Linked DNA regions of Rattus norvegicus. The protein of the gene in region 6 interacts with the protein of the main gene of each other region in a pairwise test. Links are inferred from orthologs where the notes say so. Each region holds a gene or a part of one and is shown on either strand. Other genes may lie near its edges. The genes, in order: Tnpo2, Rab4b, Edrf1, Deup1, Rab14, Exoc5 and Rab4a.

Evidence for each region.
Region 1: the proteins of Exoc5 (region 6) and Tnpo2 interact in binary tests that used the Homo sapiens proteins (3 or more experiments, as listed by UniProt). The two-hybrid records come from large-scale screens. The link is inferred for Rattus norvegicus from reciprocal best matches to the Homo sapiens genes EXOC5 and TNPO2.
Region 2: the proteins of Exoc5 (region 6) and Rab4b interact in binary tests that used the Homo sapiens proteins (3 or more experiments, as listed by UniProt). The two-hybrid records come from large-scale screens. The link is inferred for Rattus norvegicus from reciprocal best matches to the Homo sapiens genes EXOC5 and RAB4B.
Region 3: the proteins of Exoc5 (region 6) and Edrf1 interact in binary tests that used the Homo sapiens proteins (3 or more experiments, as listed by UniProt). The two-hybrid records come from large-scale screens. The link is inferred for Rattus norvegicus from reciprocal best matches to the Homo sapiens genes EXOC5 and EDRF1.
Region 4: the proteins of Exoc5 (region 6) and Deup1 interact in binary tests that used the Homo sapiens proteins (3 or more experiments, as listed by UniProt). The two-hybrid records come from large-scale screens. The link is inferred for Rattus norvegicus from reciprocal best matches to the Homo sapiens genes EXOC5 and DEUP1.
Region 5: the proteins of Exoc5 (region 6) and Rab14 interact in binary tests that used the Homo sapiens proteins (3 or more experiments, as listed by UniProt). The two-hybrid records come from large-scale screens. The link is inferred for Rattus norvegicus from reciprocal best matches to the Homo sapiens genes EXOC5 and RAB14.
Region 7: the proteins of Exoc5 (region 6) and Rab4a interact in binary tests that used the Homo sapiens proteins (3 or more experiments, as listed by UniProt). The two-hybrid records come from large-scale screens. The link is inferred for Rattus norvegicus from reciprocal best matches to the Homo sapiens genes EXOC5 and RAB4A.

What each region holds. Positions count from the first base shown.
Region 1 is NC_086037.1:40,021,388-40,025,560, forward strand, and holds the start of Tnpo2 (transportin-2), read right to left. Parts: upstream 2,801-4,173; 5' UTR 2,709-2,800; intron 1,684-2,708; exon of another isoform or gene 1,641-1,683; 5' UTR 1,628-1,640; coding exon 1,529-1,627; intron 1-1,528. UniProt on the Homo sapiens protein: Probably functions in nuclear protein import as nuclear transport receptor. Serves as receptor for nuclear localization signals (NLS) in cargo substrates.
Region 2 is NC_086019.1:91,597,538-91,601,670, forward strand, and holds the start of Rab4b (ras-related protein Rab-4B), read right to left. Parts: upstream 2,801-4,133; 5' UTR 2,726-2,800; coding exon 2,710-2,725; intron 339-2,709; coding exon 258-338; intron 28-257; coding exon 1-27. Other genes in the region: Mia (melanoma-derived growth regulatory protein precursor), read right to left, coding at 3,955-3,978. UniProt on the Homo sapiens protein: The small GTPases Rab are key regulators of intracellular membrane trafficking, from the formation of transport vesicles to their fusion with membranes.
Region 3 is NC_086019.1:197,878,129-197,881,628, reverse strand, and holds part of Edrf1 (erythroid differentiation-related factor 1), read right to left. Parts: intron 1,365-3,500; coding exon of another isoform or gene 1,263-1,364; intron 1,016-1,262; coding exon 894-1,015; intron 247-893; coding exon 135-246; intron 1-134. UniProt on the Homo sapiens protein: Transcription factor involved in erythroid differentiation. Involved in transcriptional activation of the globin gene.
Region 4 is NC_086026.1:20,720,786-20,724,829, forward strand, and holds the start of Deup1 (deuterosome assembly protein 1), read right to left. Parts: upstream 2,801-4,044; 5' UTR 2,716-2,800; intron 1,513-2,715; 5' UTR 1,468-1,512; coding exon 1,439-1,467; intron 1-1,438. UniProt on the Homo sapiens protein: Key structural component of the deuterosome, a structure that promotes de novo centriole amplification in multiciliated cells.
Region 5 is NC_086021.1:38,901,685-38,905,184, forward strand, and holds part of Rab14 (ras-related protein Rab-14), read right to left. Parts: intron 1,341-3,500; coding exon 1,253-1,340; intron 931-1,252; coding exon 900-930; intron 1-899.
Region 6 is NC_086033.1:24,803,942-24,807,441, forward strand, and holds part of Exoc5 (exocyst complex component 5), read right to left. Parts: intron 3,337-3,500; coding exon 3,189-3,336; intron 1-3,188. UniProt on the Homo sapiens protein: Component of the exocyst complex involved in the docking of exocytic vesicles with fusion sites on the plasma membrane.
Region 7 is NC_086037.1:68,691,686-68,695,880, reverse strand, and holds the start of Rab4a (ras-related protein Rab-4A), read right to left. Parts: upstream 2,801-4,195; 5' UTR 2,679-2,800; coding exon 2,648-2,678; intron 2,641-2,647; exon of another isoform or gene 1-2,640. UniProt on the Homo sapiens protein: The small GTPases Rab are key regulators of intracellular membrane trafficking, from the formation of transport vesicles to their fusion with membranes.

The DNA.
Region 1 (4,173 bases), on a different chromosome or scaffold from region 6:
CCTTCTCAGGAGGATCACATGACTGCGCTTCCTACACTACCCTTATATCCTTACCAGAGCAGGAGAGGACTGGAAAAAGATGACTTCTCTTAAACTGGCAGCTGCTACTCACGTCTGTGATCTAGGGACTCCAGTGAAACCTGCTTTTCTCGGCAGACTGGAAAGCCACTTGGGTGTGGTGCATGGCCAGAATCCTAGCACCAGGGAAGCTGAGGCAGGAAGATCACCCTGAGTTCAAGGCAAACTTGGGCTACATATTCAGTTCTAAGTTAATAATTTAATCTGTTATACAAAGACCATGACTCAAAAAAAAAAAAAAAAGAAAGAAAGAAAGAAAGAAAAAAGAAAAGAGCCCAGGGATATAACTCAGTGGTAAAATATACATCCAGCATATGTGAGGCCAGACCATTGAGTCTCCAGCCCTATTAAGAGAAAATAAAGCGAGTGGATGACTGAGTTCCAGGAGCAGAGCTTAGGGTACAGGTCCAGGATAAAGCAGGGGCCACACGTTCCAGGCCGGTGTGTTCCACTCTCAGCACTGCACAGAAAGGCGGTGGGCCAGTCCCATTTTCAAATGAAACTCAATACTGTTTCAAACATTTAATTTTATATTTGAGATAGTCTTCATAATACCAGGCTGCACCCAAACTCCGAGACTCACCAGCCTCTGCCACCTGAATACCGTTATTACACGATTCAAGGTGCATGCTATCATGGCTATATCATTTAAAATTCGGGACTTGCTCTAATTTGCTTCTCTGTCCTGTGATAAAGCACTTGAAAGAACCAAGTCAGGGAACAAAGCATTTGTTTTAGCTCATCAGGGAGAAGTCCTAAAGTGGGAACTCGAGGACTAAAACTGAAGAAAGCACTACACAAAGCTGCTTACTAGGTCCTCCCCACTCACATCCACCAACCTTTCCTACACAGCCCAGAACCTATTAGTAATCAAAACAATTCCCCACAGCCATGCTCGCAGGCCAAGCTGATTGAGATTCTTCAACTGAAGGCCCCTCTTCATAGGTGTACCAAATTAATAACAAAACTAACCAGGACTTTAAATATATATATACATATATACATGTAAATGTATTTATAAAAGCTCTTAGGAAAAAAGCTTCCAACTACAAAAACATTCATGTTTCAACTCAATGTCCCTACCCATCCATCTACCCTCATTCTGACAAGGCAGACTGGATTAAAATCGGAGATGGCTGGATGCCTGGTCTTCTCAAAACCCTGGTTGCTAGCTGAGGCTTGGCCAAGGCATTTCCCCTTTAGAAGACTCCAGGTTCCCATGTATTAAAGGAAAGTCAACAACTCTCACTTTAACGGTTAAAGAATTAAGTACTCAGTGAACATCAGGCATCCCCATCATTTTCTCCACTTCCAGAAATGGAACCCAAAGATCTAACCCTTTAATTCTCGTCCATGTCATGTTCTCTCACAGCAGAAAGAGTCTGGGAATCAAGAAGTAGTCCCTCCCTCTCTGCCCTGTTCCACGAGCCCCGGAAGGAAAGAAGGATACATCCTGCACTATGCGCTGAGTAGCTGTGTTGGGCGACTGCGAATCTTTGAGAAGCTGCAAGACCTGCTGCAGGCCCTGCTCGTCTGGCTGCCAGTCCATGGTGCAAGGCGAACTGCAGGGGTAGGAGCCTGGGTCAGCGCTGGGTCGCTGGAGTTCTGTGTGAGACCCAAGTTGAGTCCCCGAGGCAGAGGCGGCTGCATGCAGACGCAAGCGCTCTCCGCGGACAAGCGGAGGCCTCCAATCCGCGCCCGTCCAAGTGCGGGGTCCCCGCCAGCTATGCCATCCTCGGCCACGCAGTCGCGGGCTCGGGAGTGCATGTGGGGGGAATATAAAAGCGGGCCATCAGGACCAGCGGCGGGGGCGCGACGTATCCACATCGAGCCTAACGAGGAAACCCTCTTTCCAAAGAGGTCCACGCCACCGCCGCCCCCAGCTACGGGCCTCACGGCTTCCGCCTCCCTCGAGGGCTAGGGGCTCCGCCCCAGCGGTCTTTCAGGTGAAGGCTCAGTCCACGAGGATTCCCTTCCCCAAAATCCAGCCTTCCAGCTCCGCTAGATGCCAGCCGCCTCCTAGATTCCTGAGCTCTTCTAGGTCCCTAAGCGCCCAGATCCTGCTTATCCCTGCTCCCTCTTCTAAACCGGCTCTACAAGCTCAGTAGACGCCACATGCCCCCCTTTCTGACCTAGACGCGGCCCAGTGACTCTCCTTAACCAGAATACAAGCAATCCCGATAAGTCTCCAATGTCTCTTTGAATGAGAGCCAGTCAAAACCGCCCAACCCAGGACCAAAGCCCCCAATGCCCGCTGCCTGCCCCAATCAGATCTGGCCAAGCCTCTCTAGCCCTTACCCTCCTCCCCAGTCAGCAGGAATTAATGCTGACGGATCTCTGGCAGTTCCCCCAATCAAATTCCCCTAAGCCCCCCGACCACTTCGTGTCGGAGACCCCATCCGTCCAATCCCTGCAGCTTCCCTTAAAGAGTCCCGCACAAACACCCGCCCGGTGCGCTACCCTCAACGGATCCCATCACCGCCTCGCAGTCAGACTCAGCAAAGCCCTCTGGCCTTAAGTCTGACGCCCCTCCCTATCAGGACCAAACAACCTTCCCCTCTCAACTTTCAAGGCTGTCTACCCCCAGTCAGACCCAACCAAGCCCCGCAGAAACAGACCCCCACACACACCCGATCCTCGCGACGTCCCCCGACGATTCCCCCAATCAGGGCCCCTCCAGCCCGACCCCAGCCGCCCCACTGGCCCGCATCTCGTGGCACCCGAACCTGCCCGGGCGCCGAGGCCCCACCCCTTGAGATCAGCTCAGCTCCCCCTCCCCCGCCCGGCCCGTTCTGCCGGCCTCGAGAGCTGGCCCAACCCGGTACCCCGCCTCTCAGCCGGGCGCGACCCCGACGCCTGGACGGCGCGCGGCGCAGGCCCAGAACCCAGGGAGGTTCGAGGCGAGCTGAAGCCAAGGGGCCCGGGCCGAGCGAGGCCCACCTACCAGGCCCCGGGAGGCAGCGGAGGCGCCTAAGTGCTGCAGCTTCTCCAGAGGCTCGCGCGGAAGGAGGGAGCCAGAGGCAGGGAATAAGAAGAAAAAAAAAAAAAAAAAAAAAAAAAACGCGGCCGAAATGAACAGTTTCGGCTTCCGTACGCCGTTCAAACTGGCCTAGCCGAACCAATCGGAGAGCGAAGCACTCACACGTGATCTGGCACAGAGCGGCCTAGCCAAGTTGAATCACGTGAGAGAATAAGCACCGCCTCTAGGCCTCTCTAGCCATTAGGTCCTCCCAGCGTCTCTTTCCCTTTTTCTTACTGCAGCTTTCTTATTTAATGTATATTGGTGTTTTGCCTGAACCATGTGCGCGCAGTGCCGTAGGGACCAGAAGAAGGTATTGGACGCCTGTGAAGCTGGTGGTGGTGAGCCATATGAATGCTGAAATCAAACCTGGGTCCTCTGCGAGAGCCGACAGTACTAGACTCCAGCCCCCAACTGCAGATTTTTCAGGAGCTAGAAATTTGGTAGTGCATGGGTGCTCTCGGTGTGTAATGGACCTAGGGATTCCCTCAACCACAGCTAACCGTGCCCTTGCTAAAACTCCCTAAGATTTAAACTGTTCGCAGTCCGGCATGCCTCAGAACTGCCGGACTGTGGTGAGGGAGGGGAGGGATAGAGAGTACGGCAACAGTGTGCCCCCTAGTACCAGGAAAGCCTGGGCTACATCACAAAAGCCATGGTCTACGGAGCTGGTTCCAGGACAGCCAAAGCTACACAGAGAAACGGGGAGGGGGGAGGGAGCCTGTTTCTCTTTCGCGCCTCCAAATAGCACTACACCGACATAAAGAGCAGGGCATGCAACTTGGGCTGCTGCGTTTTTTCTTTTACAAGAGCAACTCTCTGTTCTGTTATTGTTCAATACTGTTTAACACTTTACATGGAACTGAGAAAAAACACATGGCAATTTTTTTAAATTTATGTTTGTTTTGCCTGCATTCATGTCTGTGCTTCACGTTTCTGCCCGATGGCAGAGAAAGTCAGGTGTTAAATCTGGAACTAGAAAGCTACAAGACAGTTGTGAGCTGCCATGTACGTGTACTGGCACTTGAAACCAGGGTCCTGTGGCAAAGCAACAAGTGCTCTTAATCGCTGAGTCG
Region 2 (4,133 bases), on a different chromosome or scaffold from region 6:
CAATAGTGTGGTTGGAGTCCTGTTTGACTGAAGTAGGAGGGAAACGGGAGGCAGTGCAGGGGCTCCTGGAATCCCCCCCCCATGCAGACCTCCTCCATTTCTGAACCCCAATTTCTCACTGCTGGGTTGGCAGAGAACTTAGCAAAGACCACCCAGACCAAGCCAGAGGCAAAACCTATAGCACTAGCTTTATCCAGCGGCACCTGCCACCTGCCCCGCCTGCTGCCCAATGGCCCAGGGTCCCACCAGAAACTCACACTTATTCTCAATAAACTGATGGAGGAGACATGATTTGCCAGTTCCGGCACTGCCAATCACCAGGAATTTGAAGAGGAAGTCTGAGCAGATGGCACCAAAGATATCCAGAGGGAGAGAAAGACAAAGGGAGTAAGAGAAGAAACAAAGTCAGAAGGAAAGATGCACAAAAGTAGAAATACAGCCATGCATTAAAAAGAGAGAGAGAGAGGGGAAAAAAAACTTTTTTTTTTAAAGTCTACAGTGCTGGGCTGGAGAGATGGCTCAGTGGTTAAGAGCACTGACTGCTCTTCCAGAGGTCCTGAGTTCAAATCCCAGCAACCACATGGTGGCTTGCAACCATCTATAAATAAAATAAATAAATCTTTAAAGTCTACAGTGCTGTGGATAGAACTCAGGACATCCTGCATGCTAGCCAGCCTAGCCCAACATGATTTTTTTCTTTTGAGACAGGGTTTCTCTGTGTAGCCCTGTCTGTCCTGGAACTTACTCTGTATACAAGGCTGCCCTGAAACTCAAAGATTGCCCTGCCTCTTCCACCAGCCTGAGTGCTGTGATTAGAGGTGCGCACCCCTACTGGGCTGGAGATGACTCCTTCCTTCATTATTATCATTGATGTTCCAAACAAAGTTTCACTATGTAGTCCAGACTGACCTAGCCGTCCTCAAACTCCACACTCATCCTGCCTCAGCCTCTAAAAGAGTGCGCTGCCATCCCCTGTATTTCTTTCGTTCTTTTCCCACTCAGGGACTCATTGTGTAGCACTATCTGGTCTTGAACTCCAATCCTCCTGCCTCAGCATTCCCACTGCTGGTAGTACAGGATGTGCCAGCACACTCCCTGTTTCTTTCTTTCTAAAGAGTATTACTTTGCTGACCTCTAACTTGAAGCAGTCCTCCTGCCTCAGTTTCCCAAATGTGAGGGTTAGAGCACACAAGATTATTCTTATATAGTGTTTACCATTTACATGCCCATCACAGTCCTAAAGACTGTTATGAAATGTCATCAGCTCATTGAATCATAAATGAAATCATAAAAAAGCTCTAAAGAAGGAATTAAACAGCTCGAGAGATGGCTCAGCAATTGAGAGCAGTGACTGCTCTTCCAGAGGTCCTGAGTTCAATTCCCAGCAACCCCAAGGTGTCTCACAACCATCTGTAATGGGATCCGATGCCCTCTTCTGGTGTGTCTTAAGATTGCTCCAGTGTACTCATTAAAAAAAAATGTATACATTAAAAAAAATTTTTTTAAAGAGAGAAGGAAGTATACTAAGTTCTTCTACTTTCCAGACTAGGAAAATGAAGCCAAAGAGGTTAACTGACCTACCCAAGACCACACAGCTAGGCACAGCTAAGATACAAATCCAAACCAAAGGTCTCCACAATGCAAGACTTTAGCTGGTGCAATTCAAAAGCCATTTCAAAAAAAAAAAAAAAAAAAAAAAGAACAAAAAAGAAAAAAAAAGAAAAAAAAAAAGAAAGAGGGGGTTGGGGATTTAGTTCAGTGGTAGAGCGCTTGCCTAGGAAGTGCAGGGGTTGGGGATTTAGCTCAGTGGTAGAGCGCTTACCTAGGAAGCGCAAGGCCCTGGGTTCGGTCCCCAGCTCCGAAAAAAAGAACCAAAAAAAAAAAAAAAAAAAAAAAAAGTGCAAGGCCCTGGGTTCGGTCCCCAGCTCCGAAAAAAAAAAAAAAAAAAGCCATTTCAACAAGAATCAAAGCTGGACTCCATTCCTCTTCACTTCTCCTACCACCCTCTCACCCGTTCACTCTGTCAAGGCCTTTGACATTGGCCCTATTTCCTAACCCGGTTACCTCCCAAGGTAACTGTGCACCAGACTCTTTGGCTTTTCTATGAGCGTTGAATGAATGGAGCTGTCTCTGATTGTTGTCAGAGTTTTCTACTGCCCTCCAACCTCCCTTTACCCACCTGACAGTGTGCATCCATATTGACTGCCTAACTCTGAACCTCTTCTACCCATCCTCTGTCCAGAACCCCTGGCCTCTATCCTTAAACTTCAGCCGCATCCCTTGGCGCTAAATTTCAAATCTATAACTCAGGAACATCATTCCAGCCCTTTCAAACCAGATCAACCCCACAGACTGCAGGGTCCACAGCATCTGTGTGAAGCTCTCTCTGGAGTCCATAAAACACGACCCTTGCTAGTTAGCCCCGCCCTATCCACTCACGCTCCGCCCAGGAAGACTTGCTTCCCTCTTCAAGGCCTACCACCTACCCTAATCCACCACGACTAGGTCCCTCAAATCCCGCCTAGATCTTTTTAATCCGTAAAGCGGTCTCTTCAAGCTCCACCCAAATCGATTAAACTCAGCCCCAGACTCACTTAGCCCTGCCCCGTATCCCGGCAGACCCCGCCCACCTGAACAGAAAGCCCCGCCCCACTTCCACATCCACATCCACTAAGGGCCCAGCCCCCCGCTTCGGCCCACTATCCTCACCGTAGGTCTCAGCCATGGCTCGGTGGCGACCGCTGAGGGCCGCAATATGGCGCCGCGGCCGCGCCTGTTCCCCGGCTGGCAGCCGCTCCACTCGGGCTGCAGCCTCAGCTCCTTTCCACTCCTGGACCCGGCGCCGCCACTTCCGCCTTCACCCCCCCCCACTCCCGCGCGAGCCTCTGGAGCTGCGGATACCAGGCCACGCTCGCCCAACACAGGGATTGGTGGATTCAGGAGACAGTGGGCGGGACAAGCAGCGCGGATTGGCAGCATGAGAGGGGCTGAGTCAAAAGGGGCGTGACATAGAAGAGCGATTGGTGGAGCAAGTAGGAGAGGGCGGAGGCAAAGATACTGCGCCCGACGGAGGAACGGATTTGGTCAAAAATCGGAGCAGAGACGAGACTCCGGATTGGTTAGACGTAGGCATTGGGGCGGGGACACGAATGCTAAGAAGGAGCAAGGGCAGGATGGACAGAGTTGGAAGAACGGTCTCAGGCTGCTTGGTTTAAATTCTAACCCCACAGGCCGGAAAGAGGAAAGCTGAGAGGACACGCGCACACTGATCCCTAATCTACAAGAAAGCCTCTGCTGGTCGGGCATGGTAGCGAATGCTTTCAACCCCAGTACTTAGGAGGCAGAGGCAGAGGCATCGATGAGTTCGAGGCCAGCCTGATCTACATAATGAGTTTCAGAACAGTCAGGGGCTACATAGAGAAACATGTCTCGGGTTGGGGATTTAGCTCAGTGGTAGAGCGCTTGCCTAGCGAGCACAAGGCCCTGGGTTCGGTCCCCAGCTCCGAAAAAAAAAAAGAAAAAAAAAAAAGAGAGAAACATGTCTCAAAAAAGAAAGAAAGAAAGAAAGAAAAAGGAAAAAGGAAGGAAAGAAAAAGGTCTGTGCCATCTATGCGCTTCTTGGGATCTAATTGGCTCAGACCAATAGTTCAACTCCTTTCTAAAGGGAGGAAAGCATACGTATATTGTACTGTTTATTCCCCTGCTTTGGGTGCCCGGGGTGGGGTGGGGGTTCCAAACCTTACCTTGGAGCAAAGGGCATGCAAAGTGAAACTCTGCCTAGTAACTACTGACGTTACAACATTCAGGGCTTTAATTGGCTAGGTTCAGGAACCCGTGAAACATTCTTTGTACATGCCCACCCCAAAAACCAAAGGGACAAAACACTTTGCAGTTGGCCGCTGTATTTGCCCAAACCGGAAGGGTAACTGCAGGGATAACATCGGTGGGTTGAGCTCATTGACAGTAGAAATCCCATTCCTGAAAAAGAGTAGAAAAAAGAGTAGATAGAAAACCAACCAGTCTTCTGTCATGAAGGCATACATGCAAATAGAGCACTCATATAAATAAATAAATCTTTAAAAAAAAAGAAAGAAAGAAAACCAACCGGTGATCACACTGCAATGCATCTAGCC
Region 3 (3,500 bases), on a different chromosome or scaffold from region 6:
ACACTAAAATTTCAGTTCATTCACATCTATCTCGGAGCCAAAGACACATCTTCATATTTAAAGCCTTAAAAATGTGAAATTCTCTCTGCACCATTCTACATTTGAAAAATTAGAGCCATCACCCCGTGTCTTACCTGTACAATCCCATTTACATGGAAGCACATCACAAGTTCTGGTACATTGCATATCAAGTTGTCCAACCAATAGTCAATTCCAGTCAACACATTAATTGGTTTGTTGTTATCCCTGAAAAATATACATTTCTAGTGTTATTTGGTTAAATAAATGTCCCATAATGAATCATCTTAGATGTATTTTCCCATTTAAATATCCTAGTCTTTTCTCTCTAGACAGAGACTGCCATAGATGTTTTCTAATATGAAGACCCAGACACATAGCTCAACAGTTGTGTTATGTCTAGAATCTTCTCAAAAACTTTGCATTTCTAACAGGCATTGATAAGTTCTCAGTACAAATGGAAGATTACGGTATGATGATGCGACTGTGAGCTCCTTGCATCCTAAGGAAACACTGACCATATAAATGATAATGCCCAAGTCACAACTCCCATTGGTTCACAAGCATGGAGCATTAAGAAAATGTTCACAATTGCATAAGGGGAAGGTGGTCAACCACCTCAAGCAATTAAATAAACTCTTCTATTTTCAGTAGTTGTAGCCTCAACCATAAGACAAGGCCAGTTCCACAGACATATGGTCTAGTCTTTTAATCAGGGATCAGAATGGACACCTGTTTACTGGGCTATCAGCATCTGTTTTCTCTCTTTCTGTGGCTATTCTCTTTGGCAGGAGGAAGGAGAAGAAAATAGGGAAAGAGGAGAAACCAACAGTCAGAGAAGAGCTAATCAGACATTGCACTTTAAGGTGGTTTACCTGAGACGTAGGCTAACTGCTGGATATCTGCCTCCACCAAATATAGGCATGTTAGAACCAACTAGCATATGGATATCTTCAAAAGTCCACAGAATATTCCGGACAAAATCATTTTTAAGACCCTTTAATTTAAAACAGGAAAGATTATAATAACAGCAGATGGACAATTTCCCCCCATGATCCAAAGAAACACCAGGAAAGAAGAAGCAGAGACAAGGTCAATTCCCAAGAGCTGTAAGACAGAGAGATGTTTACAAAGCAATTTTGAAACCTAGTGGAAATATCCCCTATCAGTTCCAACTGAGACTAGTTTTCCAATGAGGAAGTGGTCAGGGCCAGTTGTCTCAGATGGGCACATGGAAAGCATACCTGACTGTTCTCCCCGTCATTGAACAAAGTAGTAAGGTTTTGCTCTTTGGGTGCTGAGGCCACATGCCCCACTATGCATGAGGGCTCAAGAGGCTCTCTGCCCTGTGGAAAGTGCAAGATAAGGAGTGACTGTGCTGCCAACACGGCTTACAATTGACCTATGCTTACAGAGTTATCACCCACACACAAGAACACACACCCCAATCTACCTGTATGAATTAGCCAGTACAATGCATGGTGCTCATAACTCATGGGGTATAGCTTGCTTTACCTATGATTTCCCACAACTGCTTCAAACCAATCATATTTATCTCTTAAATGAGGTAGATTTAAAGATCTTTCAAAGAATCCACTTTCATTTCTTGGTTTTGTAAGTTTGATTACCACTCTCTGGAAGTCCAGCACATCTCTACTGAACTGAAACACCTAGTACCTCCACCAGTTTAAAACAACCTTCACTTCCAGTCTGCAGCTGAGCATGGCCTGTGTGAACTCCACAGAATCCTAAACCCTAGAGACCCAGAGAAAACTTTCCAATTAGTGTGAAAACCTGCTGCCTGCCATACACCTGCTTTTAAAGATTAATGTCTATCGAACACCATTCTCCCTACCACTGTCCTAAAAACCAACCAAACAAAACTAAACAACCCAAAATCCAAATCTTTTAAATGGAATTAAATTAAATTAAAAAAATCTACCTCCTTCTCTGTATAATCCAATGTCCTCCCATCTTTTAATATTAAAACTCCTCCTTTTTTTGAGACAGGGACTCTCTTTGTACCCTATCCTTTTGTTTTCTAAATGTATCTCAGAGTCTGGAATACATTTAGAAAAATACCCATATTTTGGGTAAACACAGCATATCATGCAGTTTTGCAGCCATCAGGCAGCTGTCACCAGGAGACATTTGACTATCAATCCTCTGCCTCTGGCCTTGGGATGTGTGCACGTACATGCCTTCATGAAGCTATCTTAGTCTACTGACTTAGAGGAAGATAAAGGCTCCCCTGGAGCTGGAGTTAAAACAGCTGCCCAATGTGCGTGCTGTTATGGAACGCAGACCCTCCAGCCACTCTTCTAGCCACTGTAATGTGAGTTTTAAGAAATCCTGTTACAGATAGCACATGCAATAAAACACATAAAGTAATGATACACCTCTACTCCTTCCTCTAACCACTAAGTGACTTAAATATTATGCACCTCCCTCCTTTCAAGAGAAATCCTTGGGGAAAAAATAAACCCAAACACCTCAAATTCATTTATGTACTTTTATGGAATGTCTTCTCTAAAATTAAAACCAAGTTAGTCATTTTTTTTTTATAAAAGCAAGTTAAATGTGTTAATTTTTTACAAGTCTATTATAATGTGTAAAGACTGAACCAATCTGGCTGAATCATGTTCAGTACATGAAAATACACAGCAAGACAAAAAAAAAAAAAAATTTTACCAAGCTAAAAGCTTTATTTCTTTGGGCTTATTTTAGTGTATTTTCCTAAAAATAAAAATGCCACAAATTAGCATCTACAGTGTTATTTCATCCTATGGAAGACACAGTAAGTTAAAAACAAGTAACTAGGGGCTGAAATGATGGTTAAGAACACTGGCTCTCTTCCACAGAACCCTGGTTCAATTCCCAGTGGGAACATGGCAGGTCCCAACTGTCAGTTATCTCCAGGGAATCCAATACACTTTTGTGGCCTCTGTAGGCATCAGACATGCACACGGTACTATTCAAAAATGCAGGCAAGGGGCTGGGGATTTAGCTCAGTGGTAGAGCGCTTACCTAGGAAGCGCAAGGCCCTGGGTTCGGTCCCCAGCTCCGAAAAAAAAAAAGAACCAAAAAAAAAAAAAATGCAGGCAAACACTCATATACGTAAGATAAAAATAAATTAAAATCTCAAAAACCAATAATGTAAATAAGAAGCCAAGAGGATGAGATAAATAAGACAATAGTCTATCCTTTCTTCACATGGGCTGGAGAGATGGCTGAGCAGTCAGGAACACATGCTGCTACTCTAGAGGACCTAGGTTCAATTCCCAGCACCCCTCATATGGCAGCTCACAACTGCCTGGAACTCTAGTTTCAGGGGATCTATCAAACCAGGCATGCGTGTGGTGCACAGATCTGTGCATACGGGCAAAACATCCATACATATAAAACAGATTTTAAATCTTCATATAATGTTAATGTGGGGCCAATTCTATTTTCCAGGGGGAACACCATCCATTTTAGAATGA
Region 4 (4,044 bases), on a different chromosome or scaffold from region 6:
TCACTGCTGACTGTGCATTTGAGGCCACCAGCGTTGTCAGAGTGAATCCACAGAAGATAGATTAGAGATTAGAAGATGGTTTCCACCATCCTCTTCAGAGCTTCACCCAAGCGTCAGGTGATCGGGCAAGCTGAGCAGTCCTGAGTCCAGCGTCAACCATGTATGGAATTCCTGATCTATAGCTAGGCATGTGCTACCCAGCTGGAGAGCACATTTCCGAGCCTTTTTTTTCACGACTCCGTGTGACTGAGTTCTGGCCAATGTTAATGAACACAGGGGAGCCCGACATCTCTAGGCAGACTTCTAGAAGGAAAGTCTTTCCTGCCCTTGTTTCCCCCTCACTAAGACCAGGATGGAAAACAGTCACAATGCTGGAGCTAGAACCGGAGCAACCACTCACTCTGACATAGAGATGGGTTTGCATGTTACTTAAGGCTGTGCACTTGGTGTGCATGTGTGTGCGTGTGCGTGCGTGTGTGTGTGCCTGTGCATGTGTGTGTGTGTGCGTGTGTGTGTGTGTGCCTGTGCATGTGCATGTGTGTACATGTGCGTGTGTGTGTGCATGTGCGTGCGTGCATGTGTGCGTGCGTGTGTGTGTGTGCCTGTGCATGTGCGTGTGTGTGTGTGTGTGTGTGTGTGTGTGCGCGTGTGTGTGTTTCAGGGGTTCTGGCTCTACTATAATGTATTCTGTTTTCTTGTTGAGAATAAGGGCTATGGCCAGGAGATCGGACTCGAAACGTAGTCTTAGTTACTCATGCTTCTCTCCTTTCCTTTACCTGATGTCAGAGTCACAGGGGAAGCAGAGTCACTGGAAGTGAGACGCTAGAGTTGTGATTGGGTCAAAAGCAGCCACACTCAGGACTGGGCTCTGATGTGAGTGCCTCTGCTGCCTCAGTGTGAGTCCAGCAGAGGCAGAAGGATAGTGAACTCTTCATGGTGCTGATGCAGGAGAAGAGGCAGGACAAATAATTGTGAAGCGGAATTTGGCCCATTTCCTATGGTGAATGTTCTCCAAACCCCATTCTAAAATATCCAATTCTTGCTGTGCTATGGAAATATATGCATCGTGGGGCTGTGTTTATATGTTGAGAAAATGTGGCCAGTCTTATGTAGGAGCAGAGAAACCACTCACCCCAGCAAGAAAAGGCCAGGAAGTGCTGTGCTGTGGACATGTTAAGGGCTGAGGAGGCCAGCGTGGGTCCCCAACCTGTGATGCTGACGTATCAGTCGGGAAGCGCTGTCTTCCAGGGTATAGACTCAACATCAGAAAGATTCACACGAATAGAGACTTCATAACTTACTTGAGATTTTCTGTCTATTTACCCCCTCCCCCAATCAGCACATCCTATTTTTAACAATTCATTTCAGAACTCACGCTTCCTCCAGGACTTCTGGGCATAAAGATGAGCTAATTAAATAGAATTTCTGCAGCACTTACCCTGCCGTAGTATGGGCTTGGTTCTCCATGCCAAGAAATGTTTACATCTGACTTGGTACTTACTGATATTTAATCTGTGAGGAGGGAAATTATTTAGAATTATAAAATGCTTACACATATTAATATAAGATATGATATTTTTGCTGTTGGCAGCCACTTAGTATAGGTTTTGTGAGCATGGAAGCTCTAGCTTTGACAAGTACAGAAGGCCCACGGTGGGGGTGTGGGTGTGGGTGGGGGTGTGGGTAGGGTGTGGGGGTGGGGGGTGGGGGGTGGGGAGGTTTCTTTGGCTTGAAGTTTCCACACAAGTAGGAATACTGGCTCAGCATTTGTTTGCAATATTTGGTACTGGCTGAAACCAGAAAGCATTCCTCCTTAACTCAAAGGCAGCTAGGTGTCAGTGGCCTTTTCAGAGTGCTCAGTTCCTAATTCTTGCTCTGAGAAGTGTTGTCTAGAAGCCCTTGGAGTTTACATCTTAGCGACTCCCTATCCTCTGCCTTGGAGTATATTCTTTTGTTGGCTTTTCTTGACCTTTTAAAGGAGTAGATAAAGCAGGAGATTTAGTACAAAAGTCCAAGAACAGGAGCTGGACAACTGGTCCAGCAGTCATTGAGCTTAGAGTGCAGAGAGAGGACCCCAGCACTGGTCGGGGAGCTCAAAACCACCTATAACTCTAGCTCCAGGGCAATCAGATGCCCTCTCCCTCCCTGGCACCTACATCCCTCCCAACCCTCCCCATATCACCCCCTACACCTCCCCATACCCCCTCACACCACCCCTACAACACAGACACACTGTTGTCCCATTAGTGGATAAACTTATAAGGATAAATGAACAAAGTGGTAAATTGGACCTAACCTTACTAAGAAGTATATGAACTAATTAAGTACCTGAGAAAGAGAAGGAGAGGGGTAGGGAAGGAAAAAGAGAAGGTGTTGAAGAGGATGAAGAGGAGGAGGAAAGAGAGGAGAGGGTAAAGGGAGAGAGAAGAAGAGAGTGGGAGAGGGGGAGGTGAACAGGATGAATATGAAGAAGGGGAAGGAAAGGAAGGAAGGGGAAAGGGGATAGGAGGAATCTCCATTCAGACCGTTTAGCACCACAGGAAATTGCAGCAGTGGGGCAGACACTGGAGGTGACAGGAGACAAAACTAGATCAAAAAGTTCAGACAAAAGAGGGAAACTGAGGCACACTCCCAGGGTCTGCTGGAGGCAGTGGAAGCCAGCTGCTGCCTAGGGGAGGGACAGGTCCTGGGTTCAGGGAGTCAGCCGCCTGTTACCTGTACTGCTGTCTGGAGAGGTCTGCCCTGGCCTGGGCTGTGGGTCCCGCCCGCAGCACCCCGCCCGGCCGGCACCGTTGGCCTCTGGTCCCCAATGGGTTGCCATGGAGACGCGGCCTCCGCACCGGTCTGCTTCCCTCCAGCCGGAACTCCCTAGTACTGGCGCGGTCAGTGCCCAGTCCAGTGCCTCCAAGATCCGCCCATCCTGGCTAGCTGCGGCCCGCCGCACCCAGGGGCGCGAGAGAAGCGCGGGAGGACACTGCCCAATCAGAGAGCTGGTGGGCCACCAGGAGCGCCACAGAGACTGGGATACCTAACTCTGGGCCTCAGCCCTCTTCCCAGAGGAAACCAGGGTTGGGAGGGAAAGAACTCCAGGCAAAGGCCCTTTGAATTCACCTTAGTTAACTTCCAGCTGGGAATTGGTTAGGCTCACTCCTCTGTCACTGTATTCGCACCATTTAAACCTCTCTCTTCCTCACAGTTCTCTGAGTCCTTGGAAAACTGCCAGTTAGGTGGATTAGGCTGTATTGGGAACAAGGGAGTAGCTTCTAGTGGTGGGAACCAACCCGGATCCTCGGTAACTGATTCCAAATTCTTTCCTTTTCAGCCACATTCCAACCATAATTGATGACAGAATCTCAGTCTGACCCTGTTGATTTCACTTAGAAAATGACGTTATATACCATAATGCATATATATGTATATGTATGTATATATACACATATACACACATATGTAACAGAATACACACATACAGTATAGAAATCACAATACATTGATACATGTACTATTTACAAGTTATATATAATATACATACGTGTATATATACTTGGCACAAAATACAGACAATAAAGAAATCACACATGCACTGATACATGTATGTTATTATATACATTATATAATTACATATTAATTTATTATATATTATATGTATTATATTACATATTACATACTACATACTGCATAGTACATATTACACATTACACATTATATATTATATATTATACACACACACAGGTGTGACAGCAAGCATGTGAATTGGGGGATGCTGCTGGGCCTACTTTAGGAACATAACTGTTTCTCAGCATGTTCAGCTGATTGATTGCTAGTTCTTAAAGCCTGTCATTTGCATTCTTTTGACTCATGTCACTTTGCTACTTTAACATGGCCGTCAATTTTAATCCAGCCCACAGTCCTCCATCCAGGTTTGCCCGGTGCTCAGATGAGTCATGTGGAGTAATTCAGGAAGCTAGTTCTGCTTAGTGCAGTTCTGACAGTGACTGGGTGAAGCATGGTCATCTCATCTTATCCTGAAACTTCATTATTCTG
Region 5 (3,500 bases), on a different chromosome or scaffold from region 6:
AAAGACAATCAACAACTTTATTCACAAAGCACAGCTTTCTAGAATATGTAAGGCATTTACGCTGACCTGCAAACCTTTAGTGAACTGTCATGTCTTCCAATTAGCCACTGTCATCTAATAAGAGATTACCAGAAGACTGGGCTAAGAGAACATCGGTTTGCGAACTTCTATCTTCTACTCACTGCAGCTCTCTGTTAATACATTGCATGACACCTGAGATAGCCACTTCTGAAATGACAGCAGGTTCTCCAAATAAAACTTCTCCAAATGTGCTGACAGAATTCCAGGCTTACCAGTATTTTATAAACAGCCATGTGTAAAACTATGCTATCTTTATCATGTGATGGCAACACAGTCATGTTTAACCATGTTCACAGATCGGCTTTCTTGGGACTAAAAATTTGAAGAGGTTGGCCTGTCCTTGCCTGGTGTGGATATAGAACGATGACTGGGGAGTGCTGGGGGTCAATGCTGAACTCCAAGGACAATCAGGAAGTGTTCACTGTGCCCCATTAGCCACTGAGTACATATGTCCTTGAATCATTCTTTAAGGTGATCATTAATGCTGTGTGAACATGCTGGCTGAGCTGCATGTTCAAGATACCAACCTTAACCTTGGCTGTGAGAGTCAGACACTTGTGAGATTGCGCCAGCAGTTTCATGTATTGACCTGGGACCAGGGGACACGATGAGGTACAACTCTTTAAGTTACAAAGGCTCGCACTCCCTTGTACTGTGAAACAAAGGCTTCTGCTCACTGCTCTTCCTGCTGTGGGCACTGTCACAGCCTCACTACACAGCACAGCTCACATGGGTGTCTACAGCATCACCCACTTACACAGCACATGATTCTACTCTACGTGGAACTGAAACATGATCTACATTTTAGCCATACTTACGTTTTTGCACTTGCTTCAAGGAACAATAAGCCTAAAAATAAAATTCAGACTAAAATTAGAACATTGCAGAGTCAGAAGCACTCTTCAGTCACATGTGAGCAGGGCCCACACAGCTGCCCGTCCTCCTCCTCCAGCCCTTATGAAGGAGCACGTGTCTGAGGCAGGGGCAGATCTGCACTTATCATTCAGTAGCTGCATTACTACGAACATGTACCACAGAAACAAACACTTCATTTCCTTACTCAGATTTCTGAAAAGGTTTTTTTTTTTTTTTTAAATATTAAATAACCTGCATGATCTAAAACTCCTCTCCTTTAAAACTCCCACAGAAGAGTGTTAAGTCTTCAACCCACCGTTTTCTTCAGCAAACTGTTTGGCTTCTTCATAGGTAACATCTCTCTGTGCTTCCAAATCTGCTTTATTTCCTATGAGAATTATTACCTAATTTGTGAACAAAAGAAAAGGTGTCTTAGAACAAAAATACCTATGAAAATTCTCAAATACAAAAGTCTTAACAAGACAAAAAACGACCCCTAAGTGCCCTGGACTACAGAGCCTTTACAAAGGCAAGAGCACCAAGAAGGACCCTGGCAACAAGCTGGGTGGGGGACTGACAACCTGCCGTAAGGAAGAGAAGGCATATTTTAGATTTGTGAGCCCCACACGAGTTTTGCTGAATATTATTTTTATTGTTGTCACAAGTCCCTTAAAAGTAGAAAAGTCATTCATTAGGTGAAGATGGCTCACAAGCCAGTTAGTTCATATCTGGTCTAGGCCAAAGAGTAAGCAAGATTAGTAAGAATGCCCTAAAATTAAATGCAAAGCACCATAACCATGAACATTCCCTGGAGGAGGCTTGTGGCTTTCAGGTTCTCAAAAGATTCTACAACCCTGAAGAAACTTGAAAACCACCAGTTTAACTCATTCAGGGTAACAGTAATTACCTTCCCCTTAAATTAAAATAAGACAGAGTTAGCGGAGGGCATTAGAACCCTAGAGAATGCAAACTGTGACGTAGAGACAACACTGTCCTAGCTGATGTTATCCCAGGAGGGTTATAACTTTCTATCACTAACTAGCAATGCTTCTGTCTGTGAAAGAAGCTGGCACGGGATAAACACACAATAGGTTCGAATCCTTGGACAAACATCACCTCACCGTCTACTTTGGAGTTTTACCAAAGTAAAATTGTTTAAAGACTAAAGGTAAGAAAACAATGGTGTTTTGGTTATTTAAGGCACAAAGGGCAGAGATGTCAGCCCCTCTTCTGCCTTTCTGCCTCTTTTAACAGATACAGATGTTAGGAAACAATGATTCCAACCAACAAGTGCTTCCCAACTTTTTTGTCCACATAAAATTAGTACTTTGTCTCTTCCACTTTCAAATGTTGGGGTCCAATGAACTAATCAATTATTTCTATATAAGTTAAATGGTATAATCAAAAAACATTCTTCAAAGTGCAAGTGACCACTGACAAGGGAAAATAATGTTCATAGTCATTTGAACAATAAAATAATGACACTTAAAGAGAAATCCAGCCTAGGATAGGGTCATTATAAGACAGGCATTCAAACCAAGAGGTAAACCTTCTAGACTGAAGGCTGGGCAGAGCATGTGCCTAGCAGGCACACCGTCTCCATCACTTCCCTCCACCACCACCCTCTTCAAAAAGAAGTATTTTCTCTTCCCAACTACACGTCAATCTCCAGTCTCTACTGCCCACCCCCCAAGAGGTCTGGTAACAAAGAGGCACAAAACAGTAACAAAAATGAAAAGTACATACTTTTCCCATAAAAACAAAAGGCAATTTCATAGAAAACAGTAATATAAAGTAGGCTTTGAAAAACATTTTTTAAATTCTTTAGTAACTCACAGAGCCATATTATACTCTCAAACCCAGAAAACTAACATTGGTACAATTACAGCCCTAAGATACCCATTTTTTCAAACCCATTTCTGTGACTATGTCCACATGTGGTTCTGGGCAGTGCAATAACACTCACCAGCTGTCATCTCCATCTGGGCACAGAACTACCATCACCACCAAGAAACTGCTACTGCTGATTCTGCACAGTTCTATCAGCCACCTACCCTTCACTAACCAACCCTTGGCAATCAGTTTGTTCTTTATCTGTCTACAGGACTGCCATTTTGAAACACGCCAATGGGATCATAAAATATGTAAGCTTTTTTTTTTTTCGGAGCTGGGGACCGAACCCAGGGCCTTAAGCGCTCTACCACTGAGCTAAATCCCCAACCCCTGCTTTTTAGACTTTTAAACTCAGCAAAATTCTCTTGAGATTCATCAGTGCTGATGCCGTTACCATAACTCCTTCTTTGGTGTGGCTGAATAGCTCACTGTAGTGGGGATATGTAAAACCAAACTGTTTTGCTATTCACGTGTCTGTGGTAGCTGGCCTGCTTTTGGTTTCTAGTTATCACAAATAAAGCTGCTATGGACATTTATCCATAGGCCTCTATGCATAGCAACAGCGAATTTAATATAAACAAAAACAAAAGCTCTAGGCTCCATACTAGCAAAACTGGTCTCTCACCACTCATTCTCTCTTACCGGTCCAGGCCTCTTAGCAGCACAAGAGG
Region 6 (3,500 bases):
ATTACACAAAATGTAAATAAACTAAATTCTCTGAGTGGCTGAGTGGAATTTAAAAAGGACTCAACTATATACTACGTATATAAACAAAACCCAACACATTTCACCTCTAAAGACAACTGTACATTATAGAAAGACGAAGAAAGGATATTACAGAGATGGACTCCGTATGAAAAGCAGGTATCATTTAAATCAGATGAAAGCTAAAAAGTGACAAGGATAAGTCATTATATAGTGATTGAACTAATTCAACAAAAGGAACTAACAACTGAAGATATCCAATATTAGAACAACTAAATATGCAAATATTAACAAGTTTAAAGGGAAAGATATGTTCCAATACAATAAAGTCCCTTACAGGGGCTTTAAAATTTCACTTTCAACAATGGATGGATTAACCACCAAAAGACAGGTTAGATAATAAAGAATCAGAATCAAGCTGACCGTAGACCAAAGGAACTTAAGCAGGCAGTTATTAAACATTCCAATCAAGGCCACTGCATGTATATTCTCAAAAACACATGGGACATTTTTCATTATACATGATAGGAGATACAAATTTGAATAAATTCTTAAAAGTTAAGTATATTCTAAATAAATTATAACAAGAAAAATCTTTGGAACTTATACAAATTCAAGGACATTAAACAACTAAATCATCAACAAGTCAATAAAGGAAATGAAATTTTTATCTTGACATGCATGATAATGGAAATAAACCACCAGTATCTTGTGGATGAAGCAATCCTGGCAAGAAGACAAACAACTGTGTTTTAGAGAGCAGACTCGAGTCTGAGCGATACTGCCACCACACAATTACTACACCTAGGCTCAGGGACGGTCATGGAAGAGGGCAAAAGAATCTAAGAGCGGGAAGAGCATGGACTTTTAAAAATGTACCACTTCACATTGAATTGTTGCTACTTTTGATTTCTAGATCTCATGTTTGCTATGCGCATGTCTCCGAGAAATGTCAGAAGCTACACTCATCAGGTCCACCAACAACACAAGAGCTGAGCAAGGATAACAACAGCTATGTTAACCGGGGTTGGGGAGAACTTGAGGCTTCAGCCCTATACAAGAGACTACAGGCAACTAAGGGACGCTGAGGATGAGAAAAAGCTTTCTCCAGGGAATGGCATGTCAATCACCAATAGAATGGTCAACCCGGAAAACATACATACAAGCAACATTATACAGACCGAGAAGGTTGTATTCATGAATTTAAGAATTTAACAATAATTAATTTAAAAAGAGGCCATAAATTTAAAAGAGAGTGAAGAAGGGTAAGTAAAGGGGATGGGAAATAATGCAATCTCAAACTAAATAGAAAAACGATTACAACAAAGACTAAGAGCTAGGTATGGTCATGAACAGTGCTAATCCCAACACTCAGGAGGCAGAGGGTCTGTGGGAACTCCAGGTCAGCTTGGTCAACATAGTGACATAATGGATTCCAGACCAACCAGGGCTACTGAGTAAGACTCTTTGAAGAAAAGGAAAAACAAATTTTCTATATCAGTAAATGAAAGATGAAAAAGTATACATTATAATGAAAGCTATAAAAATACAAAGGATTATAGATTATCATGAATAGAAGTACGTCAACAACTTTGACAGTGTGGAGAAATGGGCAAATTCCAGGACACACGCCTTAGCATAAAGGGGCAGACACCGAGGCTGATGAGATGAGTGACAAGCTGGTGTAGCTGGTGTGACTGGCTGTGAGGGGAGCAACCAACACGGTTCTGCTGGGATCTGACGTTTGCTCCGCGTGAGTAAGTTCAGACCTAGTGCTGTGGACTTGGTCAAATGCCCAAGACCCTAGTGGTGACCCTATTGCTTCTATCTAGCTAAATGGACAGGTTATTAAACTACGCCCTAAAGAGTTACATTTATATACAAAGATTAGTGTTGGCCCAGGCCTAGCCACAGGAAGTTTCTTTTTGATCTGATAAAAACGTTAATACAAATTAGAGAAAGACTGTCGATTTGGTGTGGGACTGTATGCAGGTACCTACTGTCTCTAATCATAGACACAAATTAACTCAGATTAGAGTAAAGCCTTAAATGTAAGCACTAAAATTATAAAACTACAAAATAAGGGTAGTGAAAATACTTCATAACATTGGAATGGATAGAAGCGTCTTGAATGAGACCCCCAAAGCAAAGGAAACAAAAGTAAAAACACACAAGATTACCTTCAACTATAAAGCTGCTACACAGTACAGGAAACAGCAAAGAATGAAAGAAAGCTTACAGAATAAGGAGAAAACAGGCAATTATACAATCTATTAATCATAGGTTCATATGGAGAACACATAAGGCACTAACACGGTGAAAACATGATCATTTTACTTCAGTTAGGAAGGCAAGACAAAAGGTAACATGCTGGTGAGGATATGGAGGAGAGAGAACATCCTACACTGTTGGTGGGAATGTAAACGGCTGTTATGAAAAGTGATGTAGAGGCTCCTCAAAAAGTTAAAAAGGGGGACGCAATAGTCCTGCTACTTAGTATACAAAAAAGGAAAAGAAATCTGCTTGTTTAGAGAGGGCTCTGCATTCCAATTTTATTGCAACAATATTCACTACATCCAAAGACAGAATCAATGTAAGTATCCGTTAAATAGTGGATAAAGATAAACGGTAGATTCACACATGCAGAACAAGCAGTCTCAGAACAACTACTAGTGCGTGACCCTGCGCGTATGCCTAATCTAAAGAAGGGACTCTCGTAGACAGTGGAATGTGGTGAGCAGCGGCTGAGGAGGGAGTGGGAAGAGGTGGGGAGAATGAGGGAAGACCGCTGAACAGAACTGTTGGTTAGGGAACAGAAATGATTTTGGTGTTTTACTGCACCAGTAGGATAACAACAGATTAACAATGTTCTATATACTTTTAAATACTACGAGTACTTTTAAATGTCAGAATAGATCTTAAATGTTTTTACCACAAAGAATAATGAATGTTTGAGAATACACATGCTCATTCTGATGAGAATATTACTCGATGTATAATTTTATCAAAACTTCATATGGTACCTATAAACATACACAATTTGTATAAACCATATTGATTAAGAATATTAAAAAATTAGTAGGTCCTAACCAGGAAGTACATTTTTTCCATAAATGAGATAAAACTTGAATTATACAACTATATCTTAAAAATTAATTTATTATTCTTACCCTATGACATCTTTCAAAGGCTTGTTTGGTTTCTTGTAAAAGATTAACTACCACTTCTTGAGATAGGAAAGTCTCCCCATGTGTGTCAATACTTGGCCCCAGTGGTAAGTTGGTACGTTGTCTAATCCTTTCTTTCAAATCTTGAATACTAGTACACCATAAAGACAAATAAAAAAAAGTTACTATACTTAGATTTATAACTGCAAATATTCTCAACCTTAGAATACATCAACAAAAAAGAAAAAAAAAGTCAAAAATGAACCAATAACCAAGAGACCCAAATTCTAATCACAAGTTTAGTTTTTAAATGAC
Region 7 (4,195 bases), on a different chromosome or scaffold from region 6:
AAGAAATATTAGATTCAGACTTAGTTAAAAATTAAAACCCTGGGGGTTGGGGATTTAGCTCAGTGGTAGAGCGCTTGCCTAGCAAGCCCAAGGCCCTGGGTTCGGTCCTGGCTCCAAAAAAAAAAAAAAAAAGAAAGAAAGAAAAAAGAAAAGAAAAGAAAATTAAAACCCTGGAAACAGGAACACATGTCTATAATCCTAGCACTTGGGAGGCAGAGGCAGGGGTATTGCCATACGTGTGAGGCCAACCTGGGCTACACGGTGAATTCTAAGCCATCCAGAACTATAGAGAAAGACCCTGTCTCAAAACAAACAAAAAAATAAAACTAAAGTCATATTTGGGAAAAATACCTTGAAATAAGGGAAAAGGTAAATATTCACAGGGCTGCAGAGATGGCTCAGTGGTTAAGAGCACTGACTGTTCTTCCTAAGGTCCTGGGTTCAATTCCAGGCACCCACATGGCAGCTCACAACTGTCTGTGACTCCAAGATCTCCCTCGCACAAGCATACACCTGGGCAAAACACCAATGCACGTAAATTAGAAATAAGTAAATTAATAAACAGGCACACACAAAATGTGTGTGCCTCCTGGTATCTTGCACATGCTAGGTAAGCTCTCTGCCACTGAGTTTTATCTCCAGTCCCTGAGGTAATACTAACAGTGACAGCTTCACGATCAGAGTTTAATCAGTACGCTGTGGTGAGCAAACCCTAATTAACTTTGCGTGCCGTGAAGCAGAGGGTGTGTGGTGATGTCCGCCTTATTACCTATCATTTCCTGAGAGAACCAAGGGACAAGGCTGCCTCCCATGCTGTCCTCCTCCTGCCTCACTTGGCCATGACACCGGGAGGCTTTCTTTGAGGGCTCTACTCCTCCCAGGAACTCCTCAGGCGACTCAAAGAAAAGGATGACAATGAGCTAGAGAGTGTATTTTGCTGGAGGCATTTCTTATAGTGGCTCCTGGCAGAAAAATCAAACCACACCACACCACACCACACCACACCACACCACACCACAGAGGCATACATAGGCCACCTGTGGCCTTGACAAAGCCAGTCACCCACTGGATAGTGCCTTTAGCGTACAGGGACAAGCATTATGCCCCAGTGCCACAGGAAGAGTGGATGCTGGTTCTGGGTGATAGTGGACCAGGCTGTTGTGTGCCTCATGACACCCTTTCCAGGGTCCCACCCTCTCAAAGTCCAAACCGCCGAAGTTCTTCAATTGTGTCCTCACCTTTCTCAAGGTAAGGTGCCCAAGCCACACTCCCAGACCTGAACCCCAGGTCTGCCTGTCCACTTGCCTGTCTCTGACCCATCTAGGTCAGCTCTTTCTCACACAGCCGTGCTGAATCCCTCAGAGCTGCTGCCTGGCTTATAATTGTTCACCCACTAAGGCCACATCTGAAATAAAAATCTACTCCTCGCTGGACTGCAAACTCTTGGGGAGGTTTCCATCGCACTCAGACAATGAGTAGAACCTTCCTGGAGGTACCCTGACCCCACCCTGTGGCAGGAAGAAAGCAGGGGGCACATACTGGATGGGGATCACCTGACAGATCACCACGATTTTCCGTGGGAGTCCCTCTCTGGGACCAGCACAGACTGAGTCAAAGTTTCAGGTCTCAGTACAGGCAAGCGTGGGCCAACCATGCATAGTAGTAGTTGTTTAGTCTTACCTCGGTTGGGGGAGGGGGAGCACCCAGCACGTGCATTGAGAACGCCTGGGTGCTGCAGGAGCAAACAAACAACAACAACAACAAAAAGATGAAAAAAAAACGAAAACAACAACAACAACAAAAAAAAAAAAACCAAAAAAACAAAACCACAGCTCCATATCCAAGGCCTCTGGCCATAAAGAGGAAATATATTTATAAATCTCTATAATGCAAACATATGCTGGAGGAAGGGAGGAAGGGAAAGATACAGGAGGCCAGGGGTCTCCAGAAAAGAGGTGCGTTCATCCACTTAAAACTCATTATAATCTCAATGCAAAGAAAGGAATTCCAAACCTTGAGAGGCCCACAGCCGTGCCCCCAGAGCCACTGAATGCAGGCGTGGCCCAGAACCTTCATCCCCGCGGTTGGTGCTGCAGTGAGGAGGGGGGAAACTCAACGATAAATTGGCTCTTCCAACCCTGAGCCATTTAAACAACCCAAGGAGGAAAATGTAGGGTGAAACCAGGGTCAAAGCAGGGGGGACCTTGGGAGAGAGATTCACAGCAGCTCTGCACAGCTGGGGGCACCTGCTGGCCACCGAGTCCAGCCCAGCGCCTGGCACCCCTAGCTCCTCAAGATTCCAACCTATCCTGAAACACCCAGACATTCTCAAGTTCCAGCTCGACCTTGACACCCCAAGAATCTCAGGCTCCCAGCCGCTGACACTTCAGGATCCTCAGTATCTCCACCCGGCCCCTAACACCCAGATTCTCAGGATCCCAACTGCTGACATGACTAGAATCCCAACCCAACCCTAAACAACCCAAGATTCTCAATATCTCCACCTGGCCCCTGACACCGCGAGGTTTGCACGACATCTCGATAGTCTAGACACCGGCTCTGGACACCCTGACTGACCCCAGCCCCCAACATTCCGGGACCCCAAGGCCTGCCCCTCTATCCTCGCACGCAAGCCCGCGCGTCCTACCGTAAGTCTCGGACATGGCGGTCTGCGCCATCCTGCCGCCACAGCTCCACGGGGTTCGTCCTCCAGTCTCCGCAGAGCGAGAGGAACCGAGTGTGGAGAGCCGGGTACGGGCCCACGGCGAGCCGGCCACCGGCTGCGGCCCAGCGGGACTCGGCTCCGCGCCTGCGCACCGCCGCCCGGCGAAGCAGCCGGGCGGAGGGGGGAGGGGCGGGGTCGCAGGAGGAAGGAGGAGCGAGGTTGGGGAAGGGGAGGAGGGAGGGCAAGAGAACTGGTTAGAGGCTCCTACTCGGAGGAGGAGGCGAAGGTGAGGGAGGATGAAGGAGGGAACCAGGAAGGAGGAGGGCGGGGCTCGGGAGGGGGCGCCTGCGCCCCATAGGTCCTCCCAGATGGCTTAGCAGTACAGACTCAGTCTTCCTTAAGTGTTACCTACCAGGCTAGGGTGCACAGCAGGCCGCCCGCCCGAGGGCTTGTTTTGACAGAAAGAGGGTTCACCAGCAGAAAGCCAACTCCAGCTCAGGCAGGTGTGCTTGGTCACGTGAACTCTCCTGCTCCCCGCTTTAGTGGACAGTGCAGTGTTGCGTGGCCCTGACTGCAGGCTAATTTCAAAGGTGTGTTCGGTTTATGGAACAATACAGGTCAGAACCTATTCCTTCTTCCGAGGAAAAGGGTCGGGACACTTATTGAACGGGAAACTGGGGACAGGAATTTGACCCACCTGAGCAAAGCAGGGCCTAAGAGCCTGCCTTCTTCACAGCTGCAGAGACCGGATCTGTGGAAAAATAAGACGTGGGGAGGGAAAGGATCCCCCTTCATCCTGGAATCTTGTTGAAGTCCCTTGCTGGCACAGCATGCGAAATTGACTGTTGAGATTGCCTGGCATGGTGTCCCTTGCCTATAATCCCAGCATTTGGGAGGCGTAGGCAGGATTGTTTCAAGTTGAAGGTTTACCTGGGCTACACAGCAAGGAGGGAAAACAGATGATAGAGACACGACTCCAAAAAAAAAAAAAAAAAAAAGTAAATACAATTTAAAATAACAAGAATGAGTGCCTGCACAATTCATTTAATATAGAGATATTTCATATAAGAATGTTAAAATAGCCCAGCAGTGTTGGCGCATGCCTTTGATCCGAGCACTGAGGAGGCAGAGGCAGGCGGATCTCTGTGAGTTCGAGTCCAGCCTGGTTCCAGGGTGAGTTCTCGGACAACCAGGGCTACACAGAGAGAGATCTTGTCTCAAAAAAAAAAAAAAAAAAAAATGTTAAAATAGCAAGGAACTGAGCTGAAGGCCTGAGAATGTGCGACCCTTGAGCTCTGTTTCATTTCTTTTCCAGCTGAAAATCTGCAATATTCAGAGTCGCTCACAAACAAGATTACATCCAAAACACCTGTCTTGCTTGGGCATGGCGGCACAGGCCTTTAGCTCCGGATCTCAGAAGGCAGAGCCAAGCACTGCTGAGTTAAAGGCCAGTCTGGGCTCCACAGTGAGTTCTAGGCAAGCCAAGGCTGCATTGGGAGACTAACCCTACCTCAGGAACAACTCTATGAT